6 linked regions of the Oryctolagus cuniculus genome follow. The protein of the gene in region 3 purifies or fractionates together with the protein of the main gene of each other region. This does not show direct contact. Links are inferred from orthologs where the notes say so. Each region holds a gene or a part of one and is shown on either strand. Other genes may lie near its edges. The genes, in order: PDHA1, PDHB, DLD, DLST, OGDH and DLAT.

The links.
Region 1: the proteins of DLD (region 3) and PDHA1 purify together in Homo sapiens (affinity purification with mass spectrometry; 4 studies listed by BioGRID and IntAct, counting the BioPlex papers as one, with this or other methods). This does not show direct contact. The link is inferred for Oryctolagus cuniculus from reciprocal best matches to the Homo sapiens genes DLD and PDHA1.
Region 2: the proteins of DLD (region 3) and PDHB purify together in Homo sapiens (affinity purification with mass spectrometry; 3 studies listed by BioGRID and IntAct, counting the BioPlex papers as one, with this or other methods). This does not show direct contact. The link is inferred for Oryctolagus cuniculus from reciprocal best matches to the Homo sapiens genes DLD and PDHB.
Region 4: the proteins of DLD (region 3) and DLST purify together in Homo sapiens (affinity purification with mass spectrometry; 3 studies listed by BioGRID and IntAct, counting the BioPlex papers as one, with this or other methods). This does not show direct contact. The link is inferred for Oryctolagus cuniculus from reciprocal best matches to the Homo sapiens genes DLD and DLST.
Region 5: the proteins of DLD (region 3) and OGDH purify together in Homo sapiens (affinity purification with mass spectrometry; 3 studies listed by BioGRID and IntAct, counting the BioPlex papers as one, with this or other methods). This does not show direct contact. The link is inferred for Oryctolagus cuniculus from reciprocal best matches to the Homo sapiens genes DLD and OGDH.
Region 6: the proteins of DLD (region 3) and DLAT purify together in Homo sapiens (affinity purification with mass spectrometry; 4 studies listed by BioGRID and IntAct, counting the BioPlex papers as one, with this or other methods). This does not show direct contact. The link is inferred for Oryctolagus cuniculus from reciprocal best matches to the Homo sapiens genes DLD and DLAT.

Annotation. Positions count from the first base shown.
Region 1 is NC_091453.1:5,384,437-5,387,936, reverse strand, and holds part of PDHA1 (pyruvate dehydrogenase E1 component subunit alpha, somatic form, mitochondrial), read right to left. Parts: intron 2,445-3,500; coding exon 2,385-2,444; intron 1,833-2,384; coding exon 1,659-1,832; intron 1,124-1,658; coding exon 997-1,123; intron 50-996; coding exon 1-49. UniProt on the Homo sapiens protein: The pyruvate dehydrogenase complex catalyzes the overall conversion of pyruvate to acetyl-CoA and CO(2), and thereby links the glycolytic pathway to the tricarboxylic cycle.
Region 2 is NC_091441.1:91,554,820-91,558,827, reverse strand, and holds the start of PDHB (pyruvate dehydrogenase E1 component subunit beta, mitochondrial), read right to left. Parts: upstream 2,801-4,008; 5' UTR 2,601-2,800; coding exon 2,559-2,600; intron 2,472-2,558; coding exon 2,418-2,471; intron 584-2,417; coding exon 476-583; intron 391-475; coding exon 328-390; intron 227-327; coding exon 191-226; intron 76-190; coding exon 1-75. Other genes in the region: thioredoxin domain-containing protein 17, read right to left, coding at 3,049-3,420. UniProt on the Homo sapiens protein: The pyruvate dehydrogenase complex catalyzes the overall conversion of pyruvate to acetyl-CoA and CO(2), and thereby links the glycolytic pathway to the tricarboxylic cycle.
Region 3 is NC_091434.1:136,290,127-136,294,277, forward strand, and holds the start of DLD (dihydrolipoyl dehydrogenase, mitochondrial), read right to left. Parts: upstream 2,801-4,151; 5' UTR 2,639-2,800; coding exon 2,600-2,638; intron 1-2,599. UniProt on the Homo sapiens protein: Lipoamide dehydrogenase is a component of the glycine cleavage system as well as an E3 component of three alpha-ketoacid dehydrogenase complexes (pyruvate-, alpha-ketoglutarate-, and branched-chain amino acid-dehydrogenase complex).
Region 4 is NC_091451.1:20,942,923-20,947,161, reverse strand, and holds the start of DLST (dihydrolipoyllysine-residue succinyltransferase component of 2-oxoglutarate dehydrogenase complex, mitochondrial), read right to left. Parts: upstream 2,801-4,239; 5' UTR 2,741-2,800; coding exon 2,678-2,740; intron 2,140-2,677; coding exon 2,106-2,139; intron 1,194-2,105; exon of another isoform or gene 1-1,193. UniProt on the Homo sapiens protein: Dihydrolipoamide succinyltransferase (E2) component of the 2-oxoglutarate dehydrogenase complex. The 2-oxoglutarate dehydrogenase complex catalyzes the overall conversion of 2-oxoglutarate to succinyl-CoA and CO(2).
Region 5 is NC_091447.1:52,009,501-52,013,000, reverse strand, and holds part of OGDH (2-oxoglutarate dehydrogenase complex component E1), read right to left. Parts: intron 3,182-3,500; coding exon 3,079-3,181; intron 2,919-3,078; coding exon 2,790-2,918; intron 2,572-2,789; coding exon 2,421-2,571; intron 2,222-2,420; coding exon 2,094-2,221; intron 1,994-2,093; coding exon 1,815-1,993; intron 1,656-1,814; coding exon 1,584-1,655; intron 1,147-1,583; coding exon 1,018-1,146; intron 362-1,017; coding exon 289-361; intron 1-288. UniProt on the Homo sapiens protein: 2-oxoglutarate dehydrogenase (E1o) component of the 2-oxoglutarate dehydrogenase complex (OGDHC). Participates in the first step, rate limiting for the overall conversion of 2-oxoglutarate to succinyl-CoA and CO(2) catalyzed by the whole OGDHC.
Region 6 is NC_091432.1:103,992,602-103,996,101, reverse strand, and holds part of DLAT (dihydrolipoyllysine-residue acetyltransferase component of pyruvate dehydrogenase complex, mitochondrial), read right to left. Parts: intron 2,979-3,500; coding exon 2,911-2,978; intron 815-2,910; coding exon 722-814; intron 373-721; coding exon 265-372; intron 1-264.

The sequences.
Region 1 (3,500 bases), on a different chromosome or scaffold from region 3:
TACATGTGCATCGATCCTCCTTTCCCCTTCGCACAACCTCCTCTTCGCCCTGCAATCACAGTACGCACCTGCATGAAGCAAGCCACACCCCAAGTTCTCACTCCGAGTCCCAATCGTTAGAACTCAGACACCAATTCAGCTATCTGGGTACCTGTCTCTCTTGGCAAATGTGTTCCCCCTTGTCTCCATAGCCTTTATTTTTAAAATCTTTTTTTTAAAGATTTGTTTATTTGAAAGAGTTAGAAGGAGAGGTAGAGAGAGAGAGGTCTTCCATCCGCTGGTTCACTTCCCAACTGGCTGCAACAGCTGGAGCTGCGCCAGTCCAAAGCCAGGAGCTTCTTCCATGTCTCCTACATGGGTGCAGGGGCCCAAGGACTTGGGCCATGTTCTATTGCTTTCCCGGGCCACAGCAGAGAGCTGGATCGGAAGTGGAGCAGCCGGGACTCAAACCAGCGCCCATACGGGATGCCGGCACTGCAGGCGGTGGCGGCTTTACCTGCTACGCCACAGCGCCGGCCCCTCTCCATATCCATTAGAAGGAAGCTCTCCATCTTTCCTGATCTCTAATCACTTAACCACCTTTCCATGCTAGTCTGGTGTCCTGGACTTTTTTTCAGGGTGACAAGCATCTACTGACTTCTGCACTGGTAAACTTAACAATTCAAGAGTTGTGAGGGACAAAGAGGGAGTGTTGGGAAGATGCCGAGACTACACTGCACATCACGCTGGGTTCAAGCCCATTGTTGCTAGATATCTGCTGGCATGCTTGAGTGACTACACGTGTTCTGCCGTCACAGCACTAACCTCTGGAACTTTTCCCCGAGAAGCTGAAGGACTTCCCAGAACGGTCAGTGCACTCCAAGGCACAACAGAGGTACCAGAGTAGCACCTGAGAAAGGAGTGTTTCTAAACTCGCTCCTAACAGCTAGCATCTTAAGGGCAGACGTTTGAACACTGAACCCGCTCCCGTCCCCTTTCTGTGAATCGAGAGCAAACCTGTGAGCTCTGCGAGAATCTCGCGGACAGAAAGGCCCCGAGTGAAGGTAAAGCCGTGAGCCCGATAGGCTGTGATGAGGTGGTCCGTGGGATTTATGCCGGCCTCCAGGCCCACACAGCAAGCTTCCTGCGTTAAAGGAGGAAAAGAACGTGAGGCTCTGATTCTGGATAAAGAGGTTTCCCAGACTGATATGAAACATGTATGCTAGAACTTGGCATTGATACCACAAAGTGGCTATTTTTCATCCAACACCACAGTGGCATGGAAGGCTCAACAAGCAGCTGTAAACTGGCAGCCAGACGTGCAATTTCCTTTAGCCTGCACAGCGATTTAAAAAAAAAACAACAACCTGGAAGTGATGTCGACATGCACCTGATTTTGTAACCCTTGGCCTAAACCTACCAAAACAAAACCAAATAACCCTTTCAAAAGTGAGTACAATACAGGAATTGAAATGTCCGAAAATTTTAAAACAGTAAAATTCTAAGAACAGGTACAGGAAATTAGCAATGTTATAAATGAATAAAAGGTGTTGGCATTCTAATTTTATTCTAAAAATATGAACCTCAGGTACTTAACACATACGACAAGGTAACATCAACAAACGAGAATCATACTTACCTACCTAAATGAGACAGTTTTAGTACAAACCTACACTCACCTGACCATCACACAAGTGACAGAAACCACGAATAATCTTCTGCTTATACAGCTGATCTGCCTTTAACTCCATTCGGCGCACAGTCTGCATCATCCTGTAATACTTGAGCCCATCCTCCCTGGTGAGCACTGTCGTGACAGGAGGGCCCTCTTCCAGCCGGTGAAGGTCACATTTCTGAAACAGAGTTAAGGCAGGCAGTCATCCTCGGGTTACCACGTAGCTAACGCTGCTGACTCATTCTGAGACCTCACTCCATCGCTAGTGCTATCAAACGCGGGAGACCGCCAAGGAGCGCATCAGAAATGCTTCCTTACTGCTCCTGATTCCTTCGCTCTGTACGCCTCTCTGTGCAAGGGGATGGATAGGGCTTCAGGGGGAGGGAAGTTGTTCTTAGTAGACTTTCACTGAAAACCCCTAGAAGTCAACTGAGCTATGGGGTGAAGCTTTCAAAGGAACATTTAGGAATGTTCATGTTCAAGTGTTTCACTCTAAACTTTGGAGTAAGTTTTTCTTCCTTTTAACCCCCCCCCCCCCGGCCTCACCCATATCAGCAACATGCCAAGAATAACAAACTCTTAACTTTTGGTAAACAACTCTAACTTATGAAACATCTGGTAGAAAATGAAGAGTATCAAAAGGTCTATTCTAAATATAAAAGTTATAAAAACTGGACATCAGTGTGTACCTTTTGAAAAATTCTGAACACAACGTAAAAGCACCTCTCACCTTAATTTCGAAGGTAGCATCATTTGCAAAATTACGGGATGCCACCAGCACTCTGCTTGCCTTGAAAGAAAGAAAACACACAAACACATCATTATGTTTTGTCAGCCATCTTGGATAGTCAGAATTACTACTCAGTGATGATGTACTCATGGAACTTTAATAAACCCCAGCATATTCATGGGCTTCTCTCTCTTCCATTCTGTTCACGATGTTGGTCATCTTCCTCACCTTCCAAAATGAAGCCACACTCTGGCCAATAAAGCACAATCCCACCGCTATCTGAAGGCAGAAAGAAAGGTGGCAAAAACCAAACCTGTTCACTTTACCACTTTGTTTTCCAAGAATTCATGAGACAGGCTGGTGTTGTGGCACATGAGATTAAGTGTCTGCTTGCAACACTGGCATCCCACATAGGAATGTGGTGTGAGTCCCAGCTACTCTGTTTCCAATCCAGCTTCCCCGTAATGTGCCTGGGAAAGCAGAAGATGGCCCAAGTACTTGGCCCCTGCCAACCACTGGATGGAGTTCCTGGTCCAGTCCCGGCTGTTATGGGCATCTGGGGGAGTGAACCAGCAAATGGAAGATTCAAATAAATATGTGTGTTTTAAAAAGAAATTATGAGAACATAATGAAATTAATGGCTATACTGAAGAGCCTAGATAATCTGAGATGTATGCTTTTTTTTTGGGGGGGGGACAGGCAGAGTGGACAGTGAGAGAGAAAGGTCTTCCTTTGCCGTTGATTCACCCTCCAATGGCCGCCACGGCCAGCGTGCTGTGGCCGGCGCACCGTGCTGATCCAATGGCAGGAGCCAGGTACTTATCCTGGGGGTGCAGGGCCCAAGCACCTGGGCCATCCTCCACTGCACTCCCTGGCCACAGCAGAGAGCTGGCCTGGAAGAGGGGCAACCGGGACAGAATCCGGCGCCCCGACTGGGACTAGAACCCGCCTGGGACTAGAACCCGGGGTGCCAGTGCCGCTAGGCGGAGGATTAGCCTATTGAGCCGCGGCGCCGGCTGATTTATGCTATTCTTAAATCATAACTGGATACTGTTCATTTGAACAAGCTAAGAGTTTACTCTATCATACTTCAACTTAAACTATGATTTAATCCCT
Region 2 (4,008 bases), on a different chromosome or scaffold from region 3:
TGAGTTTATAACCTGGTCAATGGCTTGCATAGAGAAATTGAAGGTCATAAATTCACAAATGGGCCGCAACCCAGCCTGTGAGATCAAAAACATGCATGTTAAAAGACAAGGAACAGCAGAGTGGGAGGCAGTATTTTTAAAACGTCATGTTAAATCTCTTTGGGTGAGCCTCACAGAGACTATTACGTACCATAGCTGCACCCACAGCAATTCCAGCAAAGCCCATCTATAAAGGAAAACACAAAGGAAGTGAACATCAGTAAGACTGAGGCGAGCGAGCACTAACGGACAAGCCCTGCAAGGCCGGCTTCCTGGTAGAAGGCTCACCTCGGAGATGGGAGTGTCTATGATCCTCTTGTCTCCGTATTTCTTCCACAGGCCTCGACTAACCTACAAGAGATGACCGCATTAACTTTCAAGTAGATCTCGGGGCAAATGGTGACCTCAGCGTGCGTCTTTCATATATTTTGGTTACCTTGTATGCCCCGTCATACTGGGCAACTTCTTCCCCAAGGAGAAATACCTTCTCATCTCTTTCCAGCTCCTCATCCATACCTTGGTTGATAGCATCACGAACTGTCACCTGTCGCAAATACAGGAAAGTAGTCAGTAAGCTACAGGATTATTTAGGACACCACTGAGTCTCTTCCTGTATACTCACCTAGGCTGCCCTAAGCCTGGGACATAAAAACACATTGGAACAGGCTTCTCTTTTAAAGTTCAAAGAATTCTAGAAGCAGCGTTTGTGTTATATATACTAGTCTTTGAGAAGTTTGCTGATGTGACAGGCTTTCCTTGATGAGCACCCAAGATTAAGAAAACTACCTACTGGCCAGGTCAGCTCACGGGCGGCTTTCCTGGGGGAAATGCAGGCTGGGTTGTTTTGTTAAGACCCCTGGAGTACTATCAAGGAAACCTAATTCATGCTAAATATTTTTTAAGATTTATTTATTTAGGGCCGGCGCCGCGGCTCACTAGGCTAATCCTCCGCCTTGCGGCGCCGGCACACCGGGTTCTAGTCCCGGTCGGGGCGCGGGAGTCTGTCCCGGTTGCCCCTCTTCCAGGCCAGCTCTCTGCTGTGGCCAGGGAGTGCAGTGGAGGATGGCTCAAGTGCTTGGGCCCTGCACCCCATGGGAGACCAGGATAAGCACCTGGCTCCTGCCATCGGATCAGCATGGTGCGCTGGCCGCATCGGCCATTGGAGGGTGAACCAACGGCAAAAGGAAGACCTTTCTCTCTGTTTCTCTCTCTCACTGTCCACTCTGCCTGTCAAAATATAAAAAATAAATAAATAAAAAGATTAAAAAAAAAAGATTTATTTATTTAAAAGGCAGAGCAACAGAGAGGGAAACAAGGAACCATCCGCTGGGTCACTCCCCAACTGTCCACAATAGCTACGTTTGGGCCAGGCTGAAGTGAGGAGCCAGGAACTTCATCTCGCTCTCCCACAAGAGTGGCTCAGGCCCAAGTACTTGGGGCCATCCTATGCTGCCTTTCCAGGTATACCGGCAGGAAGCAGAGCAGCCAGGACTCAAAACTAGCACTGCAACAGTGATGCTGGCGTCGCGGGTGGCAGCTTAATCCTCTGAGCCACGCGGGGATCCAACGCTAAGAACTGAGCACTCGTAGGTAGCAGGCACTGCCAGCCTGCATCTGGCTGTAGGAATTATTTTAACACACACCATGGCAGAATCCTCTAGTAAGGAAAACAGTGAGAGTGTGTGGGTGCAGAGGGGCGATTCCACTCCGGGGTTTATCCCAAAAGAACTCAAGGCAACGCACACGCTGTACGCAGCAACATTCACATCAGCCAAAACGCGCAAACAGCCCAGCCCTCGTGGTGGGATGAGTGGGTGAAGTGTGTGTATGTCCACACTCTGGACCAGATCCTGCAGCCTCACAAAGGAATCCGATTCTGACACAGCTCGGGCCTAGACGAACCGCGAAGGCAATAAGCTAAGTGAAATAAGCCAGACACGAAAGGCCAAGTGATTCCACTTATATGAAGTTCTAGAACAGGCAAACTCAGAAACAGAAAATACTGAGGTGACAGGGAACCAGGAGTTATGTAATGGACACAGAGTTTCTGTCCGGGATGAGAAAGTACTGGGAATGGGAAGCGGAGAGGGCTGCCCGACGCGGTGGGTGCACTTAACGTCCCTAATTTATACACTTTCAACAAAATTAAGCTATGTGCAATTCAGCACAATTTCTTAAGGGGCGATGGATCAGAGAGGAAGAAGCGTCAACTTCTTTTCTCCCAGTGCCCACATGGTCCCAGGCAGCCTGGCGGGAGTGACACGCCGGCGTCACGGGCGCCCGGCGGCGACACAGGCGGCTCCAGTCCCACGCGGGATGTGCGCGTCCGCAGACCGCAGGGCCCGAAGAGCCGCCCGGCCCCGGTCCGCTCCAGTTACCTGCAGCGCCGCCGGCGCGGTCCGGTGAAAGCGCCTCTTCAGCAGCCCGGATACCTGGCGGAGAAAGAGAAGGACGGTCAGAGGGGTGGCGGGGCGGGCAGGGGCCGCGCGGGCTCCCGGCGGCCCCGCGCCGCTGCCTACCTGCTGAAGGGGTCTCCGCACCAGCCCAGAGACCGCCGCCATCTTGACCGTGTCCTCTAGCCGCCGCCTAATGACAACACAGCGGAGCCGGCCGTGCGATAGGTCCCGCCTCCCCGCCTGCGCGGCCAATGGCAGGGCGCGGTGGCTGCGTGCCCCGCCCTCCGCTCTCCGTGAGGGTCGCACGGAGGTGGCGCGTGGAGCGGCGGGGCCCCTCCACCTGGGGCCGGCATGATGGAGAGCGCGCAGCCGCCGGCTCACCGAGTGCACGCGGGTCGCATGCCCCTGGCTGCTTGCAGCGCCGGGGCTGAGAGTGACTCAGGAGTGTGATCTTTTGGGGCTGGAGGGAGTTGTAGTTTTTTTTTGCAGGTTCATGAGTATTTTCATAGCGTACACTGATTTTTAAATATCATTTATTTCTTGCTAACATGAATTCAGAACAAGTCGAGTTTGATACCAGAGGAAATCAAGACACACTCGCCATCATGGAATGCTAATCTTCACAGAAGAGCATCTCCACGAGGTTGGCCTGGCGACACTCCGCGTCCACCAGTTTTTTAGGTGTTCCGTATTTCAGGAGCGTGGGCACCGAAGTCACGTTCAGTTTTTTCCTGAAGTCGTTATTTGGATCTCTCCAGTAAGGCTTGTCTCCTACTTGGCAGTAGATGAACACACATTCTTGGCTGGCACTCTTCAGGCCCTCACGAATGACAGGCTCAGCCTTCGTGCAGAGGGGACACCAGCTGTTCCCTTCCGTGTCCTTAGAACCCACAAACAAGGCGAAAATGCGCTTGCCCTCGTGCTGCTCCACAGCCTGGTTGAACTCCTCGAAGCCACACACGCACACCTCCTGGTAGGCAGCCATTGGGACCTTAAGAGGGAGGCCCCCAGGCTGCAGGTCCTGGAATCCTTGGGGGGCTCTCGGGTGTCGGTTCCTGAGAATGAAAACAATAGCTTTCACTGACTTAGTAAGCACCTACTGTATGCCAAACATTGTGCTAAGTGCTCCATTAAAGCTCATTTCCCACAGGAACCTGCTCAGGTGTTAACCCCAGTTTTCACAGATGGGTGAACTGCAGCAGAGATGGGCCAAAAAGCCGGGGTTTCGATTTAGGAACTGGAGACTCCACTTTCCCCATTGCTTCCGCCTGCAGAAGTTGGTGTCCTGCCTGGGAGGAGGTTCGGATAACCTGGGTTTAGAGAGGGCCTTGGGGGAGGTGCCCAGCACCTGACCATGACCATGGGGGCAGCCTCCAGATGTTCCCTAGTCTCAGTTTGGCCCTTGGGGTCTGATGGGACCAGTGGCTACACAGTCCTCATCCATGCGCTGTGGTGTGGGAGAGGCGAGGGGTCAGGTGCGGATTCAGCGTGGCTGAAAACCTAGCACACCCACTCCCCACCGTGCAGCTCAGCCTCCCTTTCCATCATGCCCCCGATGCCGTCACACCTTCGA
Region 3 (4,151 bases):
AATGTGTCAAATATTGATTATTAACATCTTTTTAAAATGTCTGATTATTTTAAAAAATTATCTATTTGAGAAACAGAGCACCCAAACGCCTGCAACAGCTGTGACTGAGAACTCTAAGGTTTCTCATGCAGGGAACCAACCACCCGAGGCATCACTTGTTGCCTCCATAGTACACGTTAACAGGAAGCTAGAATTGGGAGTGAAGCCAGGACTCAAATCCAGACACTCTGACATGGGATACGGGCACCCAATCAGCATGTTAACTACTAAGTCAAACAAGCAACCCTATTAACGTATCTTCCACCATCACACAGAGCTTACACAGCAATGCCTCTCCTCTCTGGCAGTAACAGTTTACACTTTTCAGTCATACTTACCTTTCATTATGAATACTCATCTTATTTAATATAACTGCATATTTAACATAATAAAAACATATTCCAACAATATTAAGTTTTATTAAATTTTCAGAAAATATTACTGATTGTCAGTTCCATAAATAAAACTCTGAAAGTTCTAATTTAAGTACCTGGATAATATACTTGATGACAATCCTTCCTAGTCTACCATGTACGTATAGTTCAGTCCATATAGGAAAATTCATGAAGATACTCCTGATCAATCAACTAGGAACAGAAAACTGGAGAAGGTATCTTACGAAAATGCAGTAAGTAATAAGTAATATTACAGCTTTACAAATTCTATCAAAATCGCCACAATTTTGAAATATGGATGGCTACCATTTCCCAAAAGTAGTGACACACAAAAAAACAAACAGCTCCTGCTGCCATCACAACAGGCACACAGGAGACAGTGACAAAACCTACAGGGAGGTGGTAAGTTCTCTGCTCCAGGACAACTCTTGCTCCTGAGGTCAGTGTAGCAACCGGCAGTCCTGAGTTGTAGGCCCCACTCTGCCTCTCCCTTAAAGCTTGACTTCTGGCATGCTCTGTTAGTTATCTTGGGGACTACAGATGCCTCATCTTTGAAACAAAGGGATTTCATTGGATACATTAGTTTCCTCTCTCCATCCAAGAGTTCAGCCACCTACAGTTAAACTCAAAAACAGTACACTTATTACATGGAAAACTCCAGAAATAAACTACAGCTGACTCTTGAACAACATGTATTTGAACAGTGCAGGACCACTTATACATGAATTTCTCTTTTTGGGGGAGACTGGCAACTATTTGAAAAACTTAATGAACTGAGTAGCCTAGAAATATTTATAAACAAACAAACAAACAATTAGGGGGCCAGCATGGCAGCTCAGTGTACTAAGCTCCTACCAGCAATGCCAGCACCCCACATCGGAGCACCTGTTCAAGTCCCAGCTGCTCTGCTTCAGATCCAGCTTCCTGCTAATGTGGCTGGAAAAGCAGTGGAAGATGGTCCAGGAACGTGGGACCCTACCACCCAAGTAGGAGACCAGATGGAGTTCCCTTCCCGGCTCCTGACTCAACCCCAGCCATTGCAACCATTTTGGGGATGAACCAACAGATGGAAGCTCTCACACGTTCTAACTCTGCCTTTCAAATAAAAAAAAAAAATTAAGGAAAAGCTATATGATGAACGCTCAGAATATGCACAGACAATCCCACTTTCTGGGACAACTGAGCTCAAGTGTTGCAGCTCCTTAAAACACCAGGTGATGCTGTCTCTCCCTCAGTAGCTCCTCTCTCCAGTAAACTGCACATCACAGTGACAAGTTCTCTCTCGCAACCCTTATTTTTCACTGTACATAACATGCAACACATAAAAACTGTACGTTACTCACTTACTTGCACCCTATTAACGTTTGGAGGTGGGGGAGAGAGAGGGTCAAACCTCGCAGATTTTTCAACTGCACAAGAGCCTGGCACCCGGATCCCTGTGTTGTTCGGGAACCAACTCTGTTCATCAGTTATAAGTTTCGCCATTCCACCCCACCAGCTGGGACAGGAATCACCCTTTCGTCCTCAATATGCTACCTGCTCATTCGTTCTCACTTGGTAGGCCTGATGATCGCCTGTCCCAGCGCCACAGGCAAGTCCTATGTTACTGAAAGCAGTCATGGCTCTATTTTATTAGTGACTGTCGGTAATCCTTTACTGTGCCTATTTCCTACACTAAACGATATCAGAGATATGTGTAGCAAAAAAGTAACATGGTACAGGGCTGGGGGCTAGCCCCGGGGGGGAGGGGGAGGGGGAGGAGATCCGGGCCATTCAAGCAGTGCTCTCAAGGTTACCTGCCCACTGCAGACAACCAGGCCACTCCGGAGTCAGCTTTACGAAAAGGGCGAGAGCAGGACGCGCCAGGTCCCTGCTAACCCCTTCTCCTCGGGCGGAGGCCTATGGGTACGCCCCTCGGCCCAGCTATGGGAAATGCTGGCCGCCACCAGCCAGCCGAGGCAGGGCCCCTCCGCGGCTGCTCAGCTCCCGCTGCCAGGGAAGGAACCGCCACGTCCGGACCGAGGCCGGGCGGGAGCCGGTGCACAAGAGGTCCGGGTCAGGCCGCCAGCCTCTCGAACTCGCACCAGTTAGGCCGCGTCCCGGCTCCCGGACTCAGGCCTCTCCGTGCCTCCGGCTCAGCACGACCCCACCTCGGAGGTCCTCACCTTGGCCAAGGAGCAGTACACACGACTCCAGCTCTGCATTTTCCCCCGGTACTTTCCTTTCCTCCAATGCTTTCACCTCCGCTAAGCGCGTCCACGGCTTTTCCAAGGTCTCCCCACCCTGCGCATGCACAAGCGCGGCTTACGTCATCCCCGGGGAGCAGCGCGATTGGCCCGCGAGGACAAGGCGTTCGGGTCAGGCTCGGCGTCGTAAACTGTCGTAAAGAACCTAGTGCTTTGTGGCGGCGTGGGGTGGGACGGAGCATTTTGGGATGCTGTGGAAATGTGCAGGGTTGCACTGTAGCCTTAAACTTGGAATATGAAAGATATAGGCAAGTAAACTTATCATTTTATGCAGACTAGCAAAGGAAAGGTTGGCAAGCTTGACAAGCTCTTTGATGTACTAGGCATTCCTTGGCGCTTGCCACAGGCATTATCTCACTTCATCCTTACGCTCCTCTATGAAGTATTGTCTATCTCCGTTTTCCTGAGAGCTTAAGCAAAACCCTCAGTATCGCTTAAAGAAGAAGTCTCTAAAGCTCTGAGGTTAAACTCTTTGGTCTTTTTTTAAGTTTGTGATGTATTTATTTATTAGGCAGAGAGAGAGAGAGATCCTCCAGCCGCTGGTTCACTCCCCCAAATGGCTGCCACGGCCAGAGCTAACCTGATTGGAAACCAGGAGCCAGGAGCTTCCCCCCGGGTCTCCCATGCGGGTACAGGGGCCCAAGGACTTGGACCATCTTCTGCTGCTTTCCCAGGCCATAGCAGAGAGCTGGATCGGAAGTGGAGCAGCCGGGACTTGGGACTTGACCCAAGTCAAGTATGGGATGCCGGCGCTGCAGGCAGCCGCTTTATTGGCTAAGGCGCAGGCAGCGCAGGCCCCTAATCCCTTTGGTCTTAACCACTGCTTATAAGGCATGGGCCACAAACTGACATAAACAGTGTCCTCCCCTAAGTAAACAGACTGCGGACATGCACAGAACTCTACCCTCTGTGTCCTCCTTTGGGAAACACCTCCCAGGTAGAACAATTGATGGTGAGATGGTGGTTGAGATTTAAGATTTTCATAAGAGGTAATAGATGCAAAAGGGTTGAAAAGGCGTGTCGGAGATGGAGCATGGAGATCGAAGACCTGATTCTTGCTTTGTGATAACTGTCTTTAATGTGAGTAGAACTGCATTCCACATTCCTTGAAGGCTTACCACCTGGCACCATGCTGGGCTTTGTGGGTGTGAACACTGGGATACATTACTCCCTGCCTATTAGTGCTCAGTTTTAGGTGAGAAGAAATTAATGATATTAAGTGTCTGTTATAGAGACTCTAGCTGTAACCCATACTGCCTTTTTAAAAAGAAAAAAAAAAGATTTATTTATTTATTAGAGAGGCGGGGTGGGGGGGTATTCCATGCTCTGGTTTACTCCCCAAATGGCCGCGATGGCTGGAGCTGGGCCAATCCGAAGCCAGGAGCCAAGAGCCTCTTCCAGGTCTCCCACGCAGGTACAGGGGCCCAAGGACTTGGGCCATCTTCTACTGCTTTCCCAGGCCATAGCTGAG
Region 4 (4,239 bases), on a different chromosome or scaffold from region 3:
AGGGCTTCCGGGGATTGACTGACTACCCCGGGTGAATGCCCAGCCAAGATGCAACCCCACGTGCAAGGGTCCCCCCCTTGTCCTGCCAGTCTATAAAGAGGAGAATGTTTACTGACATTTCTCGGGATTCCTAGTAGAGAAAGTTCATCACTGAGCGCCTGCTAGGAACTGACACAGTGCTGGTGTCTCACATTCTCAGGACTCAGGATAAAGTCCAAACACTTTGCACAGTCCTGTACCATCCAGTCCTACCTAACTTTGCAGCCAGGTAGGCTTCTTTCCATTCCCCTAATAGGGCAATTCCCAGCCTGCCTAAAAACCTCGACAGAGCAATTCCCTTTGCCTGAAATATCATTTACCTGGCTAATTTCTACGTATTCAAGTCTCAGCTTCAATGTCACTTCTTCAGGGAAGCCTTTATCAGCATTCCCTACTCTCCCAAGCTGGACTGCATCATCCCCTGTCTCATCAAGCTGGACTTCTGAGTACCCACAATGCAATCATGTCCTTACGTGTGCACAAACATCTGCTCACGCTCTCTCCAGCCAGCCTAAGATCTTCGAATGTGGAGACCATCTGCTGTTTCCTTGTCACCAGGCACAGGGGCTGGCACTGTAGTAGCACTCAAACCATTTATTGAGTACATGAGTAAATGAGAACATAATGGATTAAGAGTTCAGGCTAGGAGTCAGTACTGTAGTACAGTGGGTTAAGTCATGGCCTGCAGTGCCAGCAGGCGCCCATATGAGTGCCAGTTTGAGCCCAGCTGCTCCACTTCCAATCCAGTTCCCTGCTAATGTGCCTGGGAAAGCAGCAGAGGACAGCCCAAGTGCTTGGGTGCTGCACCCACGTGGGAGACCTGGAAGAAGCTCCAGACTCCTGGCTTCAGATCAGCCCAGCTCTGGTCATCACGGCCACTTGGAGAGTGAACCAGTGGATGGACACCCTTTCTCTCTGTCTCTCCCTCTGTCTATAACTCTAGCTCTCTAATAAATAAAATCTTAAAAAAAAAAAAAAAAAAGTTTAGGCTGAGGAGTCAGTGTTAAGCAGCTGCCTGCAGCACTGGCATCCCATAAGGGCACGAGTTCAAGTCCCAGGTGTTCCACTTCAGATCCACCTCCCTGCTAATGCACCTGGGAAAGCAGTGGAAGATGGCCCAGGTGCTTGGGTCCCTGCACCCACGTGGGAGACCCAGGTGAAGTTCCTGGCTCTGGCCTGGCGCAGCTGTGGCTATTGGAGAGTGAACCAGCAGATGGAAGATCTCTTTCTATCTCTCCCTCTCTAACTCTGCCTTCCAAATAAATAAATCTTTAAAAAAAAAAAAAAGTAAGAGTTCAAGCTGGGGAGTCAGGTAGGCCTGGCTTGACCAGTAGTTGGCTGAGTGACCTTGGCCAAAGCACTTACCCTTTCTTGCCTTGGGTTATGCATTTATAGAGATAATACTTCTCATTCAGGTTTGTGATGATGAACTAAAATACGCACAGATCGCAGTGAGAATATCTGGTACAATGAAAGCCTACAATAAAACTAACTCATCCAACAAATATACAAGGCACCTAATTTTAAAGATAAGTTATATAAGATAAACTACTAATAATCTCCCCCAAAAAATAAGAAAAAAAGGGATAAAAAACTAAACTCCTTCCAACAATGCAGACTCCGTCTGCTATCTCACGGCACTCTCCCCCTTAACCAAAATGCCTGGCCGAACCCCCTTCTCCTCCAGCTCCCAAGCACTGCCAGCCTCCTTCCTTACCCGGGGACTGGACAAGCTACTCCCTCTCTGCCTCCTGCTCTCCCCGGCTACATCCTCCAGGATGCAGACTCGATGTCACCTACTCGGAGCAGGCGCCCCTGTCCTCCCCACCCCAACCCCGCGAACCAAAATTCGCGCCTGCTCATCTGATGGGTAGTGCGTGCACATCTGGCCTTTCCCACTGGCCTGCGGGCTGCTGGGTCCTGGGCGAGGGGCTGGCAGGGGCCTGGCGCACAGCAAACACTCCGTGACGCTGCGGGTACAGGCGGCAACTGGGCTGCCTGTGGCCGTACACGCCGCTCTGCCCCGGGAGGAGAGCGGGTCAGGCGACGGCCGGCGCAGAACTTACCAGGCAGGGAGCGTCTCCCTAGAGGGCAGTTCCCCTGTTGAGAAAGAAGACATCATCGACGTCACCCGAGGTGAAACGAGGGGAGAAACCGCTCCTCCTGCGAAGCGCGCACGCAAAGCTGCCCCGGCGCTGGGGACGGGCAATCTCCCAACTCCACGGACAGCCGCGACGGGCGCGGACCCCGCCGGCACACCGCGTCCGCCCGACCGTCCCAACTTCCCCACGGGACTGACTGACACCCCCGGGCTTCAACAGAAGGGACGGGACGGGCCCCCGAGTGTCCAGCAGAGGCCGTCCGATGTCGGGACGGGAGCGGCTCCCCAGCCCCGGCGCGCGGGGCGGGGGGCAGCAGGTGACGGTCGGTGCGGGTGCCTCGGGAAGGCCTGCCCCGCAGGCCTCGAAACACAGCCCCGAGGGCGAGGCGGTCCCGGGCCGGCCAGCCCGCGGCCTCTGCGTCCCAGTGCCCTTGGTGCCGGGCCTGGCAGGCGCGCTGCGCCCCCGCCTTCCCGGCCGCCCGTCTGTCCATCAGCAGGTTGCTCACCCGCCGAGGCTCCGGCCCGGCCGGACCATACCTTCTGGAGGGCGGAGAGCGAGCGGCTGAACGCCCGGGACACGCAGCGGGACCGGGACAGCATCGCGACAGCAGCGCTGAGGGCGGGCGGACACCGGATATAGGGCCCGGCAACAACCGGAAGTGGGGCGGGCCGCAGCACCCGCCACGCTGCGAGGGGTGTTCGGAGCGAACCATTGGCGAGGGTGGTGGGGGCGGCTGGGCGGCGCGGGGTCCGGCGTTCCAGAGCAGGCTGTGGTGGCCACTGAGCTGCCTGCTTGCCTGCCCGAGACAGCCCTCTCGAGGGTGCCTACGACTGTCGGCGACCGCAGGGCCCCCGGGGTCGAGCGTTCCCTGGCCATTCCCCGGAGCTGGCTCGGAATTTGGCCCTCTTCTGTCTGAGACCCCGGGGTACCTAGCCATTCTGCCCCCTGCCCCACGAAGAGAGAGCAAAAAGCAGGCACGGGCTTTGAACTCGGATCCTGGCATACGTGGCTGCCTGATCTTACACCTGTGTGGCCTTGGGCAGGTGTCACTGCCTCTCAGAGCATCAGGCTTCTCCCTCTCTCTCCCTCACACACACACACACACCCTCAAGCTCTCCTTCCAAACTGTTTCCTGTACATGCCGCACATTTTTGGAAATTGGCCCCGCCCTGAGAACGTGAACTCCTATCACCTGGAGTTTAAACTCGGTCTTGTTCGCTGCTGCACCCCAGCACAGCTCAGGTGCGCAGAGTTTGTGGGCGGAATCCGGGCCTCCCTGCCGTCAGCACACTGCTCTGCTGCTCCCTAAGTGAAACCACGTGGCCGCCCCTTAGGTCCCCAGGCCCCTGAATGTTATGGATCATCACCTGCCTGATAGAGACGGCGGTTTATAAACCTGCGGCTGAACTGGTAATTGATGAAGTGTGACCGAGTGGTCTGTGCCTGTGCCTTCTGGTGTCTTCACCTGAAGCAGCTTACCTGGTCAGGACTCTCCAGGTGCTGAAAGTACCACTGGGGGTGGGGGGCGGAGAATGCAACCAGAAATCGGGAGAAGAAAGGGCAGGCATCGGCCGCGGTGCTCACGTCCTGCCTTGCATGCCCACGTCTCGTGTCAGAGTGCCTGGTTCAAATTCTGCTTCCTCTCTCAAGGACCCCCCCGGGAGGCAGCGGGCGATGATTCAAGCTCAGATTTTAAGACACAGGGAAAGCCGGCGCCGAGGCTCACTAGGCTAATCCTCCACCTTGCGGCACCGGCACACCAGGTTCTAGTCCCGGTCGGGGCGCCGGATTCTGTCCCGGTTGCCCCTCTTCCAGGCCAGCTCTCTGCTGTGGCCCGGGAGTGCAGTGGAGGATGGCCCAAGTGCTTGGGCCCTGCACCCCATGGGAGACCAGGAAAAGCACCTGGCTCCTGCCATCGGATCAGCGCGGTGCGCCGGCCGCAGCGCGCCTGCCGCGGCGGCCATTGGAGGGTGAACCAACAGCAAAGGAAGACCTTTCTCTCTGTCTTGTCTCTCTCTCTCACTGTCCACCCTGCAGGGAAAAATCCGTGCCCCGCTGCCGCTGTGACCAATCCTCGGTCTCCCTCACCTGGATTATT
Region 5 (3,500 bases), on a different chromosome or scaffold from region 3:
CCTGGGCACGTTCAAGTGGCCACGGCTGCCAGCACCTGTTCCCCACAGCCACCCGGAGGCCTCAGGCCCGGGCCTCACTCCGCACCGGCACAGCCAGCGCTCCTTGCAGGAGCCGGGGTGCGGGGGAGGAGTCACAGGAGCCGCTGGCTCTCAAGAGCCTCTACGCAGTCCTGGGGGCACTCACAGGCGAGAGCCAGCAGCCTCTGCCCACGGCCAGGAAAAGTCAAACGTGAAGTCCTGCGAGCCCCACAGAGCAGCAGCAGGGAACCCCCAACCCCACCCACCCACCTGGAAGCATCTCGTCAAAGCTGGTCCTGGCCTCAGGGTGGCGCAGCAGGGACTTGGGCGTGAAGATGATCAGCTGGAAGACAACAGGCCCACGATGCTCTCCAAGTCCCAGAAGCTGGTCGGAAGCCAAGGCCACCCAAGCTGGACCCTGGGTCCCAGCAGACAACGCCCAGTGCTGGGCGGAGCCTCCCTCAGCGGGGGCAGACACCCAGCTCCCAGCTGCTGAGGCCCTGGCCCCACCCCGCACCCAGGAAGAGCCCGAGCCTCTGGCAGTCACAGCAAACACACCGTCGGCCTGCCAGAGGGCGTGACAAGGTCCAACCCCAGGACCGCCCTGCCCCGCCGGCTCACGGGCTGGCTGCTGGGAATACACTCCCCTCCTTCTGCTCGTACCCCGACCCGGCGCCTACCTACTCTCCAACACGCAGCTCCTTGCAAGCCCTGGGCCCCTGCGGGTTTCTGTCTTCCAGTACTCAGCACCCCCCCAACCCCAGCTGCTCCCATGACCACCCTCGCCCTGCTGGGCTGGACCTCACAGCCTGCCCTTCCCTGGGAGCAACGCCAAGAGGGACCCAGCTCTGACTCCATCCTGTCCATGCACCCCTTCCAGGCAACAACTGGCCAGCCCCAAGCTAGAGGCCCTGGGAAAAGCCTGGCCCCGTGCCGGCGTTGCAGGGTCAGCGCCCTGGGTCACAGGTCATCCTCAGGCCAGGCCAGGCCCGCACTGACCGGCTTGCGAAAGGGCAGCAGGATCTGGCGCCGCAGAACGTGGAAGAAGTTGCCGGGCGTGGAGCAGTTGACGACGACCCAGTTGCAGTCGTACAGCTGGCTGATGTCGAAGTTGGCTTGCTGCAGGTCCTGTGGGGAGCAGCGGCCAGGGGCTGGGCAGGAGCGCTGAGCCCCTCACGCGGGCGTCTAGGAGCGAGGGGCGCCACTCCCAGGGCCCTGCCCTCTGCTTCCCCCTGGATCCCTCCCACTGCTGTGAACTTCCACCCAGCACAAAACATGCTATTTTAGGAGACACCGGTTCTCCCTAAAGCCAACCCCAATCCTCCTTAGAAACGGACCACCCGTTCTTTTCAGGTCTTGGAATCTCAGTAGAATGCCCCGAAGTTCTCTCCCTCCAACATCTGCGCGGGCCTGGTTCAGGAGCTTGTGTGGAGGTGGCCACACGGCACACCGTGGTTTCAGCAGCAGCGGGGTGTGGCCAGCAGGCGAAGCTGTGCCACAGCCTGACCTGAGCCCCAGGCCAGGGAAGGACGGCTCAGGGTGACCGACGGACTCCGCTCACTCACCGGCAGGACATCTGGGTCATCGTTGCACATCTGCAGGAACCGCTCTGGGCGTGCAGAGGAGTGCTCTGGCCCCTGGAACAGACCCCCGAGTTGGCCTGGGAGCTCTCGCGGCTCCCCTCCTGGACCACCTCGCTTGTTTCTGGTTCTTCCTCCTGGCGATGAATCTCGATCCCCCCCCCACCCCCCGCCGGCACAGCACGTGGTGTAAGACCGTGCCCGACCTGGGCTCACCATGCCCTCCATGCCGTGGGGCAGCAGCAGCACGATGCCATTCTGCCGCACCCACTTGGCCTGCCCGGGGCAGATGAACTGGTCGATGATGCACTGAGCCGTGTTGTGGAAGTCACCAAACTGGGCCTCCCAGAGCACCAGGGCGTTGGGGCTGGCCATGGCGAAGCCCAGCTCAAAGCCTGTAAGGGACGAGGGGGAGAGCCACATCCTGGCCGTCAGCCAGCGGGCGGGGCGGGGCTGCAGGCCGGGGGGGGGGGGGGGGGCGTGGGTGGGGCTCACCCAGGACGCCGTACTCGGACAGCGAGCTGTTGCACACGGTGTAGGGCGCCTGGTTGGGCCAGAGGTGGTTCATGGGGATGCAGGTTCTCTTGTCCACATTCTGGTCATGGAGCACATGGTGGCGGTGGCTGGGGCGGAACGAGGACCCGTGAGCCTGGAGTGCAGCTGCCACAGCCCACGCAGCCAGGACGGACATCCAGAGACCCTGCACGCTCGAGGGATCGACCGCCCGGCACGCGGGGCACAGCAAACGAGGTGAGGGCAGAGTAGCCGCAATGCCTGGGCCGCGTGGCTGTTTCCCCAGAATCCCGTGTGCCTCAACGCTACCTGAAGGTGCCACGCTCCACGTCCTGGCCGCTCAGCCGGATGTGGATGCCCTCCTTCAGGAGCGAGCCGAAAGCCATGTACTCCGCCAGAGCCCAGTCCACGGTGCGGTTCTTCACCAGCTCTCCGCGGGTCTTCAGGATCCGGCTCAGCCCTGCAGACAGAGCCCTCACAGCGCTGCAGGCCTGGCCCGCGTGGCTGCTCCACTCTGCTGGGGCCAGGGCCTTCTGCCCCTGCAGCCCCGGGCTTCCAGTGGTGTGGAAGGGCACGGTGAGCACAGGGCTCTGCCGACAGCAGCAGTGGGAGGGGCCGCGGGGCCTCTGCAGGACGAGAGAGGGCCAGTGTTCCCCCCGGCCAGCCCGACGCACTTACCTCCGTGGATGGTGAAGTTCTCCACGGGCACGGAGCTGGCCACGTTCCCAATGTGCGTGAGGACGTCCTCGGTGAGGCCCGTGGAGGGGCAGGACATGCTCCGGGGCTGACCGTCCAGGGTGAAGAAGCCTGCGAGGGAGGGCAGGCAGAGGCGCCGTAGCACCGTGTCGGGACGACACCTGCGCGGGGTGCTGCTGACTGCGGCACACGCCGGAGGAGCTGGACTCTGGGAGGGGCCTCCTGGTCACCTCGCGGGCACTAAGGGGTCTCCGCGGGGCCCTCTGCTCACCAGGCCAGGGCGAGTCGAGCCAGTGCTTGATGTGCAGGATCTTCTCGTCCTTGGACCTGGCGAAAGCTTCCTCGCAGATCTTGTCGTACTTGGAGATCTCCTCCTGAGGGTCGGGCATGACACCGCTGGACGGGGACAGCGGCCCTGCCGCACACACCCCGCTGCACCTCCTACTTCCTGTGTGCCTGCTCCTCGCAGCCCTGGGGTGCAGGGCTCCAGAGCTCTGTCTGCGCCCACACGTCCGTCTCTGGGGTGTCTGCCTGGGCTGCCTGCTGGCAAGCGAGCAGGCACAGCCTCTGTGGGACCACACCCGGCCCCGGGTGGAGCCAGACCTTGCACTGCTGTGTCGCTGAGGGAGCCAGCGGCCGCCACCCCCACCGCAGACCCCATCTCAGTGGCCTCCTGGGGGCTGAGGGGCTGTA
Region 6 (3,500 bases), on a different chromosome or scaffold from region 3:
ATCTGGGGGAGTGAACCAAAGCATGGAAGACCTCTGTCTCTTGAACTCTTTCAAACAAACAAATAAATATTTTTTAAAAATTAAGGTCAATCAAAGCTTAGATATTCTCCAGGATACTCTCTGCAAATTACAATTAAGATGACACCTATTTTCCATTACCAACTGGCATTCTGTAACAGGATAATATATGGCTAAAATGTAAATGTTTAGTGAGAAAAAACAAAATTAATAATTTAGAGAATTGGAATTTTCCAGGTCTTTTACCTTATTAAGTTCTTTCCGTACTAACAAAACTTCTCCCATATTTACATCAATAGAAAGGTAATAATGAGGTATGGTTTGCTTTGATTGCATTAACCGCTGTGCAATAACCTGAAACCAAAGAAAATTTAAAAATTACTTATTTAGGTTGAGACAAGATCTTACCTAATCCATGGCTCTGTTTGCCTCTTCATTCTGCTCGCCAGTAATGCTTACCTTAAGCATTACTAGAATTGGAAGATGGAGAACTGCACCATCACATACCTCTTTTCTAATAGACTTAAAACACAATGCTTTATCCCAATCATTCACTGAGCCAAGCCAAACTTCTCTTAAATTAATCATCTGATATTCCCAACTGAAAAAGCCTCTCTTATTATTTTAAACTATGGAAGCAGTTAGACAGCAGAGTAAAGATCTCCCCAGTAGCTTTGGTTCCAGATCATGGTAATGCTCTTACTCGCCGAATGTTGCTTATTGGTATATCTGTGAAAACACCTGTAGGAACTGGTGCCACTCCTGGACTAGGGGGAGGAACAGCAGCTGCTGGAGCCTATGTGGGGAAAGAAAAAACTTAGTTATAGAGATGCAGTTGGATAGGAGGATTCACTTTTAATGTTCTACAGCACAATAGGATAATTTTGATTGAAATAGCTGTCTATTTCAAAATAGCTAGTGGAAAGGATTTTAAATGTTCCCAACACAAAGAAATGATAAGTGCCTGAAGTGATATGACAATTATCCCGATCTGATCATTAGACATTGTATACATGCATTGAAATATTATGTTGTTCCCCATTATACATACAATCACTATGTGTCAATTAAAAAGAAAAAGCTCAGGGCCAGGACTGTGGCACAGTGGTTTAAGCCCCAGTCTGCAATGCCAGCAACCCATAGGGGTGCCAGTTCGGGTCCTGGCTGCTCCACTTCTGATCTAGCTCCCTGCTAATCCACTTGGGAAAGCAGCAGAGGATGGCCCACATCCTTGGGCCCCTGCACCCATGTAGGAGACCTGGAAGAAGCTCCTGGCTCCTGGCTTCGTATAGGCTCAGCCCAGGTCATTGCGGCCATTTGGGGAGTGAAACAGCAGATGAAAGACCTCTCTCTGTCTCTCTGTCTCTACCTCTCTTTCTCTCTCTGTAACTCTGTATTTCAAATAAATAAAATAAATCTTTAAAAAAAATTAAAAAGCTCTTAGAAACTAGCTCAATCTTAATGTAAGATTAGGAAAGCCTGACAGTGACTCTTTTTTCTTTTCCTTTTTTAAAACTTATTTGAGGTAGGGAAACGGATCCCATCTTCTGGTTCACTTCCCAAATACCTGCAATGGTCTGATAGCCAAGAACCCAAATCAGATCTCCCATGTGGGTAGCAGGAATCCAACTACTTGTGGGCCATCACTGTCTGCATCGCAGGGTGCACATGAGCAAGAAGTTGGGATCAGGAAAAGAGCCAGAACTCAAAGCCAGGCACTCTGATATGGGATGCAGGTGTCCCAACCTAGCAGCTTAACTGCCATACCAAACACTTGACTTTGTCAGTGATTTTTATAGATGCAAAGTAAAAAGAATAAAAGTTTTATAGAATAAAAGCTATTTTCTAACTACAGAGAACAAAAGAAACTTGTATTTAGACTGCTATAGAGCTTAAATGTTTTTTACTGAGAATTCTAAAATCATGTTTTAAGTGTCATTCTTTGACTCAGTATATTCAGTAATTAATCTATGTCAAAATAACTTTGTTATTACAAAATTATCTTCAAGAAAAGGAGTCAAGGCATTGTAAAACTGAAAGAATTAAGAAACACATAAACCAGCTAATCCATTACCCAAAAAATGTTAAGAAAAAACAAGGACAAATCTTTCATTATAAAGCAAACACCTAAAGAAATACATCATTTTCCTTACTCCTACTGATTCTCTTGACACCTTACAAATCAAAAATGAGTTGGATATACGGATTTGATCTCTGAATGGACTAACCACACAAACCTTATAAATCAACTCGCAAATGTGTTTTGAAAACAAGGACCAAATGAGGAGAAAATGTATCTGAAAAATTCCAGTATCTTGGGGCCAGTGTTGTGGTGCAGTGGGTTAAACACTACCTCCAACACTGGCATCCTACATGGGTGTTGGTTTGAGTCCCAGCTGCTCTACTTCCAATGCAGCTCCTGCTAAGGCACCTGAGAAAGCAGCAGAGGGTGGCCCAAGTGCTTAGGCCCCTGCACCCATAGGGGAAACCAGATGGAGTTCCAGTTTCCTGGCTTCAGTCTGGCCCAGCCCCAGGCATTGTAGCCAACTGGGGAGTAAACCAGCAGATCGAAGATTCTGTGTGTGTGTGTGTGTGTATGTCTCCCTCTCTTTGTAACTCTGCCTTTGAAATAAATAACTGAAAAAAATTTTCAGTATCTCTACTCAAAATATATTTTGGATTTCATGTCAGTGTAATACATCACCTTTAATTTTGTATGAACATTTTAGCACACAAATATCTAGATACTGAAGTCACTGAAAGTAGAAGAAAGCATGATTCTGGATAAGCTACTTAATTCATAAATAATGTCTAAGAAGCAGGACAAAGTACTTTGAAGGGACAAACTATAAAATAAACAAACAAAAAATACATGAGTAAGCTGTAACTCACAGGAGCAGCTTTAGTAGGCACAAAAGAGTCAATGTCTTTCTTGATGATTCTGCCATCTGGTCCTGTCCCTGGAAGAGATACATAAATACCACATATACGATGACATACTGCTGGTTCCCCAAGATCAACCTGTAATCCTGAAGTACAAGCTCCTAAGGGTTTGCTACAAAAACACTCTGAAGGGATCACAACTTTAAACCCTGTCTCTTAAGGTTCTTTCCCTGAGAATGCCTACCAATTTTTTTTTTTTTTTTAAGATTTAGTTATTTGAGGGACAGAGTTACAGTTAGAGGAAGAGACAGGGAGAGAGGTTTTCCATCTACTGGTTCACTCCCCAAATGGCCACCAATGGCCAGAGCTGGGCCAATACAAAGCCAGGAGGCAGAAGTTTCTTCTGGGTCTCCCATAGGGCTGCAGGGGCCCAAGCACTTGGGCCATCTTCCACTGCTTTCCCATGCACATTAGCAGAGAGCTGGATCAGAAAGGGAGCAGCTGGGACACGAACTGGTACCCATATGGGATGCCAGCGCTGCAGGCAGAGGCTTAACCTACTATGCCACAGCACTGGCTCCTACCTACAAACTTTTGCT